Linked DNA regions of Caenorhabditis elegans. The protein of the gene in region 1 purifies or fractionates together with the protein of each later gene. This does not show direct contact. Each region holds a gene or a part of one and is shown on either strand. Other genes may lie near its edges.

Region 1 (5,127 bases):
GAAATTGAAATTTTCTAATTTTTTTTTGTGAATTCAAATTTCCAATATTTTCTGCAGAAAATTCAAAATAATGTTTGGCGGGAAATTCAAATTCCTATAATTTTTCCCTAGAAAAACAGATTTTCAAAAAAAATTTTGCAAGAACTGTAAAATCATGTTTTCTTCGGGGAGTACACGGCCTTCGTAAATCTACACATGGCCGTGTGAGAGAATTCCCAACCATTCTCAAACACGAGAAGCCCGAGAAAATCGAAATTGAGACTCAAAAAAAAGCAGCCCGGCAAAAATTTCGACGAAGCGTGAAAAAATGGAGGTGACAGCAGGAGTAGAGGGGGGGGGGGGGGGAGAAAAGAAAGTGAGAAGAACGAGAAGGAACTTAATCGGATTACGGTGTGACTGTCCTCCCGCACACACACCACAGAAATTGAGATTCATTGAAAAGATTCAATCGTTTGCATTTGAATACAGCTACCGCCGCAGAGAGGGAAGAAAAAACAACAACGAAATGTCGTAAGAGATGGAGAAGAAGCCCACCGTTTTTTTTAGAATTCAAATTCATCGAGAATAAAATTCAGATTACCAGGGAGAAAGGTTTTTTCAAAACTAGAATACTTTTGAAAACCGCCAAAAAAGCCTTAAATGGAGAGCCAAGAAAAGGGCGGAGCCTTCAACTCCGTCCATATCTTGGATTTTTTGGATTAATAATTTGTGTTCTTGCACTTATTTTCGCTGTATTTGTAGTGTAGTTACAAGGAACGAATCAGGCCACAATAGGCTCCGATATACCGCCACAATCCATTGGGAAATTTCGTAAATTGTATTTCTTGCAAGCAAAATATAATTCAATTTTCACTACTACACCCGTCTCAACTTTCGATAAGGAAATAGCCTCCCTGCTTACCAAGGCGTAATTATTATCCTAAAACTCTAAAAGAACGCCGCCAAAATTTGAAAATATTCGAATTTGAATTGGAAATTACAAATTTTCTTCGTTCACATAAAAGGCAGCACCACGAAAAGTGTAATTTTGAAGTTTTTCTAGTTTTTTTTTCTCTGTAGGAAGATGCTGATTCATTTGTTTAGTCATCGCCTTGCATGCACCCACCAATCGAAAAAAAAAACTAAACGTGTAAATTCTAATGAAAATCCGATAATTATAACTTCGAATATATGTTCATCGATAAAATATCATTAAAAATTGAAGAGGTTCCGAGCGAAAGTATTGAAAGCCCATCTGGTGAAATGGAAAAAAAGTGACCAAAAGATGGAAAAAGAAAGTATTTCGAAATGCTCCGGGAAGCAGCCGGCACACTGAGCCCAATTGATGAGCCCAGTGGAAAAGGAAAGCTTTTCCTTTTGCTAGAATTTTGATGAATTCAATGAAATTTATTGCGAAACATGGAACATTTTAAGCAAAATCCTGCAGAATTTACTTTAACATATCCTTCAAAAATGGGGATATCATTTTAAAATACCCAAAATTTTCTGAAATTCAGAAAAAAAAAACGCTAAATCCTATATTGAAAATTGTGATTTTTTAATTACGATAAAGAATTTAAAACGACAGAGCTTAAAAGTCTATAAAAACCGTGCCGCAAGATTGCAAAAAAAAAGTTCCGCCCATTTTTAATCAGCAACGTTCTTTTTCGACACTAATATCTCTAGACAAAACTACTGATTATGACGAGAAAAAAATCAATGCACCCAAATCAAAATGAGCCAATTTTTGATTGGCGTGTGTATGTGCTCAATATGTAGTGTGATAACCTTTTTTGTCATTTTTCCCCCAATTTTTAAATTCCGGTTGACACTTGTTAGGGAGGTCATAAAATCATTGATGAAACGGGGAATTGTTTGCGAATTTCGAATTCCCTCGAGTGAAGGTATTAAAATAAGGCAACATTTTCCCGATGCCTACTGATAAGAGAGAGGTTCATCACATGCTCTTTCACCCTTTATCGGAGATCTTTTTTAGTGATAAAAAAGTGATTACGGAGACATTGGGGGGAAATGTAGGTCAAAACTGGATGGTAGCAGCAAATTGGTCGGAAAAATATGAAAAGGGATGCTTTTTTTGCTTTTTTCTAGGATGAAGCAATGATTTCTACGCTACAATACATTGATCAATGGGCTGGAAACATAGAATTTCTTTGTAACATTATGAGAAAGATTCCATCATAATTTTCAGAAATTGTGACGTCATAGTCATTTTTCTGGGCATTTTTGCAGAGAAAAAGGATGACGTCATCACATAAAAATCGAGAATAAGGATTTCAATTTTTTGTTGAAAAATTAAAAAAAAAACTAAATTTTTAAAATGATTTTGTTTAAAGGTTTTCCGAAAAAAACTGTTTTTTTTTTCAGAAATCGGTTCGTTTCTCCATTTTTAACAATTAAAAAAATTCACTAAAAAGCACATTACGAATGTAAAATTTCAGTTTTTTTTGAAAAAAATAAATTTTAAAAATCAAAAAATTTCAATTTTTTGTAAAAATTAAAGAAAAACATTTAGACAATTTTTCGGCCAAATTTGTTTCAATATTATATTTTCAAAAACTTCCATTTTTCAAATCTCTAATTTTGGATTCCCTTTGGAACGAAGTCGAAAAAAATCCGAAATCTTCCAAATTCCGATTTTTTTTCCGGAAAAATAAAAGTTTTTTTTCATAATTATCGTCAATCAAAAAATTGATCCATCACAAATTTTCCAATTTTTCTGATAATTTTCATCGATTTTTTTACTTCTTAAAGAAAAATTAGTTAAAACTAATGTGATTTTTCGATCAAAATGATTTTTTAAATCATTTTTCAATTTAAATTTTTTAAAAACTTACCACAGACTCTTTTGGCTCAAACTTCCTCAATGGAGATCCACCACCGGGCGTCAAATTCTCACCAAACGGAAACCATTCGGATCGAGCTTCTGATTCGGCTGAAATTTTGTTTCAATATTTTTTTTTTCAATTAAAAATTGGCAAAAAACCTTTCTCCCGTTCCCATTGTGCCTGTTTTTGTCGTAGAAAATCCGAACTTTCATGGCGAATCATTTTTTGCAACGTACTGAAAAAAACAAAGATTTTTTATTTGCAAAACTTTGAAAAAAAGAGTGAATAATAAGTGCAAAATTGTTTTCGACAAGTGAAGGAGGGGGCCGGATGATAAGAAAGTTTTTAGATGGGAAAGAACAACATGTGATAGAAAATTTAAAGTTGAAGAAGAAGCGGGGGAGCGATTTTCAGAAAATTTTGAAAAAAATTCTATTAAAACAGATTGATTAGTCAAAAAATTGAAAATTTATTAGAATTCAATTTGGAATTTCGATAACCATTAATTATGTAATAAATGTGATATTTCGGATCGCGCACTGCAGGAAGATGACTAAATTAGTTATATTCAGGATTTCTAATTAGTGAGGGCCTGGAAGGTGACCTATAGACCTACTCACGAAAAGAAACTACGAATTTAAGTAGAGGCGCTTATGAATTATTCAGATATTTTTTCTATAATAAGCATGGGGAAATGGGTAGCTGTTAGCAAAAAAATCGTCAAAAACTCATGGTTTCAGGTCTTGGCACGAGCGTAACTGTTTAGCCACCGTACCCGTGATGTTATTCAATTTTTCGTTCCATTTGTTTTCGAAAATGGGTTATAATTATATGTAAAGAATTTTTTTCAAAAAAAAATCTTTCTTTGTTTTTGTTGAAAAATTTTAAATTTAATTTTTTTTCTGATGCTCGAAGATAAAAACTAAAATTAGTTTTTTTTAAATTAAAAAATTCTATTAAAAAATAACTTGAAGAATATCAGAAAAACTCTATTATCGTTTTACAGAAAATAGATTTAAAGCTAAAAAAAATTCTCGTGGCTGTCCGAATCTCCGTTCTTGCCAGGACCCAAAACCGTGAATTTTGGTAAAACATACATTATTACTGTATGCTGTAACAAAACCGTTCCAAACGACACAAATCAAAAAATGTTCAAAAATCGTAATACAACTACCTCCCCTCAATACTAGAAATACTAATAGTAACATTCGAGGGAAAACGGATGAGATAGGAGGTATTGTAGAGAGAAGAGAGTTAGAGGACGTGTGGTAATAAAATTATGCGTCGTCCTATACCTGTCACTGTTCTTCTTCTTATTCCTTTTACCACCTCTTCGGCAGCATGAATGGTAGTTTGCATAATTTGATGACCTCAAACAAGGAGGGCAGCCGCCTGCCACCTACACACTTTACACGGTTTCAGATTTTTTCGAAATTTTTGAAATTGTACTTGGTCTTGAGAATGAAAATATACAATATACACGTGGTGTCAGAGTGTCTCATATTCGCCGTAGATCTACGTAGATCTACAAAAAATGCGGGAAAAGAGACGCAGAGTTCTCACCTCATTTCGCATGGTTAAGAACGTGCTGTCGTCACATTTTTTTGAGCAAAGAATTCCCGCATTTTTTTTGTAGATCAGACCGTGATGGGACAGCCTGGCCCCACGTGCGTAAACGGGAAAACTCGAGAGCCAAAATTTTGAAGGGGTCTATATTTTCTCATTTAGATCTGCAATTTTCTGCCTCCCAAAATTAGAGTCTTGTCGTAAATTTTTTAGTTTTTGTCTTCATTCTTAATAATAGGCCCAAATTAAAAACGTCTTTACCACTGCTAAATCGATTAACAGTACAGAAAAAAGTCGAGTATGTAAGATATATCACGTAAAATCCAAACCGTACGAGATATATCTGGGGAATGTCAACTTATGTTTGACAATGTGCAAATACAAGTTCTTGAGATTGTTGCTCCGAGAGCCGAAGGGGGGGGGGGGGGTCAATTGATTTCTGATCGGATTTAGACTCAAGTGAGAAATTATGAAAACCAAGGGAAAAATGCATTTACAGCACCGATAAATATATTGAGCTGTATTTAATTTTGGGGTTTAAACGGCAAAATGTGCAATTTTTTTAGAATGTCAATCGATATACTGTGTATTTTCCCAAAACTACCGATTTTCGTAATGAGACGTTATGAAATTTTCTCAAAAAAAAGTTAGATGCGGTTCAAAGTTTGGCAAAAAAAGGCCAATTTTCAGCTAAAATCAAAATTTTTGCCAACTTCTCAGTGTCACACGCTGCCAC
Region 2 (4,055 bases), 3.8 Mb from region 1:
TAGGTGAGATTAAAGCTTCAGTACCTCTGGAAAATGTGACCGTCTAATTATTCGGAAACATGACTTCACAATCATGTTATAGGAGCATTTTCAATATGTGTAATTTCCAGCTCAAACCAAGATGAAGATCATTCTGTATTGGACATGATTCGCAAGACACAGAAAGGATATGGAGTAGAAGTTAGTTTGAAGTAAGTATCATTTACTATATATAAAGCGCTTATTCTGTGTGTCCATAGTTTGTAGTCTATGTAGCCTTTGTAGTCTGTGAAGTTTTGGCTTCTGGAGGGATAGTGAGTTAGGGTTAGTGTAGGGATATAGTTGGGGTACTGTAGTGGTACAATAGTGGTACGGTAGGAATACTGTAGGGTTACGGTAGTTTCATAAAAAATTAATTTTCAGCCCCAGAAGTCGGGGGCCGCGCCGAAGGTGCGGTCCACGGCTGGTTTTTTATATGCGAAGAAGTTTTTTCATGTTTACAATATTTCCAGAGATAAAGTCATGTCTCTTGAATCAATCCGCAAAAAATTGGGAATGACTACTAGTACGACGCCGCCTCCGCCAAGAACTCCATCTCCGGACGCTCCACTCGCCCAATCTCCGCCAATTCCACGATCGCCTCCGAGTTCTACTGAAAATGCGTAGATTTCCTTTGAATGAAGTATACTGTAGAAAATGTTCAAGTTTGAGTGTGTATAATTATGAAACGAGAGTAACATGAAACACTTTTATGAAATGAGGTTGAAGACTCAAATCAAAAATACAAGTTTTCAAATTTAGGACAGAAACAATTCCAGAACGTAAAAAACAATACCTAGAAGTCAATAAATGGAACAACAATGAAAAACAGTAAAAATACGCTGCAAATTGGGCAGAGTTCCCAATAGTAATTATTAAACATTTTCCTTGATAGCATCATAATTATCAGAAATTATGAATTTTGTGAAGCGACCGGCACGAACTGGGCAGCGATGACACGGACGTTGGGCGGAAGAACTCGTGGGAAATTGATGATAGTCGTCTCCTCGAAGTGGAATTCTCCATCGCGCATCACAGTTCTGCGTGTCTCGATTGACAAAGTCTCCGTAGAAATTTCTGTAATAATGAACATTATACAATTATAGAATTTTGATAATCTCACGTTTGGCTCCTTCTCTGCTCTGTAGAGTGTTGATTGGAGCAACTGGTGGCACTTCTTTCATCAATTTTTCAGCTGGCCCTTTTCCAGTGATAGTCATCACGTATGGCGACGGAGCTACCGGCTCGACATTGCTGAGCTTCAAAGCATTGTCCAACTGCTCTGAGAATTTGTCAATTTCGGGCGACATCATTGGTGCTGTGAAACCACTTCTCACGCTGCCAACACTTCTTGGGGTGAGACTGTTGATGCTGTAGCCGTACCCTCCATAATAAGACTCACGGGCCTTTTGATTGTCCAACTTGCTTTGATACAGTCCACCTGAAAACATAAAAATTGTTACGTTTTCCTAGTATTCAAACAATAACCTCCATGCAAAGCCTTCATATTAGAAGAGTATCTTGATGCGTCTTCTTGGAGTAAATCTTTCGTCTCAAATGGTTCCACTTCGATATCTTTTCCATCTCCGTGTTCATCCGTTTCTCCAACCTTCTTCGGGCACATTCTCGAAATGTGTCCATGCTCTTGACAATGGAAGCAGTGGCCTGGCCCACCTCGCCCACGTCTACCGGTTCGGCGGCCAGAGCGTGGTCTCTTCGATGAAGATCCCATACCATCGGATCGGGGCGAACTTCGGAAAGATCCACGCCGTGGACTACCCATTATATTCTCAGATGGCAGAGGTGTCACGCAACGTTCATTATTCATGTAAAGAGCATCCGAAACAGCAACACGAGATGATCTGCTTTCTCGATAACTGCTGTACCCTCCTCGTACGGAACCAAATCCAGAACTGTCGTTTAGGTGAGAGGAGTTTCTGGGGATTCTACCGCCAAGTCCACTAACGGATCCAAAATCAGAGAAGCCTTCACCTCCTCCAAATCCTCCTCGATACTTTCTCGGTTGATCAGTTAGCGCTCCGAATGCTCCACTATTTTGAGTTTTTGGCCATGGAGAGTATTGAGCTCTCTCAAGATAATGTTGTCTGTCCTGAAATGAATAGTTTACAAATTGTCATTAATTTGATAAAAAATACCGTTCTCGCCGACATTCCGTTTTCCATTGACTTCATTTCACTCGACAATTCCGACATATCCGACCGAAATGTCTAAAAAAATTATTTTGAGAAACTGGCAGAACGCTGAATATTTAAAAATTAATCTAAAAACCATTAATTCATCAGAAATGGGTGAGAGAAATGAAGAAAATTGAAGAAACGTGCCGAACGAGTTCAGAATTTCGTGTCGGGACCAAAACCTACAGTAACCAAGTCAGTATTTAAAAACGCGTTATTAAGAGGCACTACAAAACGGGGATCTGCGGAAAAATGTTATTCCAATTTCTCTTTCAAGCGAATCCGATAATTTAAATATTATTCGTATTTATTCATTAAATTAAAAGAGAAGGCGTATAAAACACAATTGGCAGCTTGCCGAACAGCGGAGCTGATTACTGTGTTGGAAAAAACAGAAAAATTTAATTAATTGACATACTAATGATAAAAGGGAAGAGTGTGGACAAAGTTGAAATGTGGAAATTCGAAACTTGCCTAAAATTAATTTAGGAGCCTCTATAAGAGGAAAAATAATTGAGTAAAATGATAGTGAATTATCAGAGATCTCATTGGATGTTGCATTGAGATAGATGTTGTATTTTATATGATAAAAAACGAAATGTACATCAAAAGAAAAAAATGCAAGACGTTGTTAATCAAGATCGATGACTTCTTGAACCTGCTGCGGATCATGGTTGAAATTTTTGCTTAGATACATATCACGAAGCTGACGGGCATCTATAAATTTTAAAAAATTATACGAAATTTTTTCTAGTAAACTAACGATTCTCAAAAACACTTCCGACAGCGTCAAGAATTGTTCCATCACGTAGTTTCACATAATATCCATTTTTCGGAACAACTAACTGTATTGGTGTATTTGCCTGAACCTGATGAAGCTGATCTCTATGTCCGACAATGGGAAAAACGAGTTCTAAAAATTTGAATTTTCAAAAAAACTTAAACGTCAAACTCACGTCTATCAGTAATCAATTGTTGAACTGCTCCAGCCGGGGAAAATGATGGTATTTTGCTCATAACAGCTCCCGGAAAAGCTGATGGATCTCTTGGAGGAAGCATTTGTTGAGGGTTTCCTATAGCTCCTCCATTGTTATTATTCGGATAGCCATTGTTGAATGACGTCATCGTATGACCACCTCCTTGGTGATGGAATTGACTGACATTCATTCGAAGCGTGTGAGGCATTGGTGATGGACGAATTGATGGAATTTGAGGTGATGGTCCATGAGGTGGAAATTGTGACATGTTTGGCATCGGTTGTGGAAATTGCTGTGGTGGATAAGATCCAAAATTGGGTGCAAGCTGATTAGGAGATTGTTGCCAATGATTATTGAAACTATTTTGCATGTTATTATTGAACATCGGAACTGGTGGTGGACCCATCATTCCCATTGAGCTTCCAGGAGCATTGTTATAAAAGTTAGAACTGCTCAGGCCACTCAATGGATCATAGTTCTCCATACGTCGTTCTCTATCAAAAAGTAATTGAGCTTCTCGTTTTTCCTGCTCGCTGAGTGATTGCTCTGACTCCATTATCAAGGTTTCATGAAGGAACGGTTTCCCGGCAAACATTTGACTCATTCTCTTAGTGATTGAGTCTAGAACCGGATCTCCGAAATCCCAATCATCTGTATTCCATTTGTCATGATTAACATCTTGTGCCTCATCATACATTAGAAGAGTCTCCAATTCTTTTTGCGAAATATTTGCATCAACTTGTGCATCGTCAACTACTCTTTGTTGTAGTCCATGTTTTGAAATTTGTCGATTGAAAATCGATCGCTCCATTGAGTTATCCATAATAAGACGATAAACAAATGTTTTCTTCTGTTGACCATATCG

What was found. The genes of interacting proteins can lie anywhere in the genome.
Region 2: the proteins of T23B5.3 (region 1) and egc-2 fractionate together in Caenorhabditis elegans (co-fractionation; one large-scale study listed by BioGRID). This does not show direct contact.

The regions. Positions count from the first base shown.
Region 1 is NC_003282.8:12,686,590-12,691,716, reverse strand, and holds the start of T23B5.3 (C3H1-type domain-containing protein), read right to left. Parts: upstream 3,048-5,127; coding exon 2,984-3,047; intron 2,933-2,983; coding exon 2,835-2,932; intron 396-2,834; exon of another isoform or gene 346-395; intron 1-345.
Region 2 is NC_003282.8:8,899,837-8,903,891, reverse strand, and holds egc-2 (CCHC-type domain-containing protein), read right to left. Parts: upstream 2,247-4,055; 5' UTR 2,232-2,246; coding exon 2,175-2,231; intron 2,129-2,174; coding exon 1,507-2,128; intron 1,460-1,506; coding exon 1,142-1,459; intron 1,096-1,141; coding exon 932-1,095; 3' UTR 715-931; downstream 1-714. Other genes in the region: Putative serine/threonine-protein phosphatase C27B7.6, read left to right, coding at 1-3, 111-191, 492-645; rad-54.L2 (Helicase ARIP4), read right to left, coding at 2,845-2,930, 2,977-3,126, 3,170-4,055.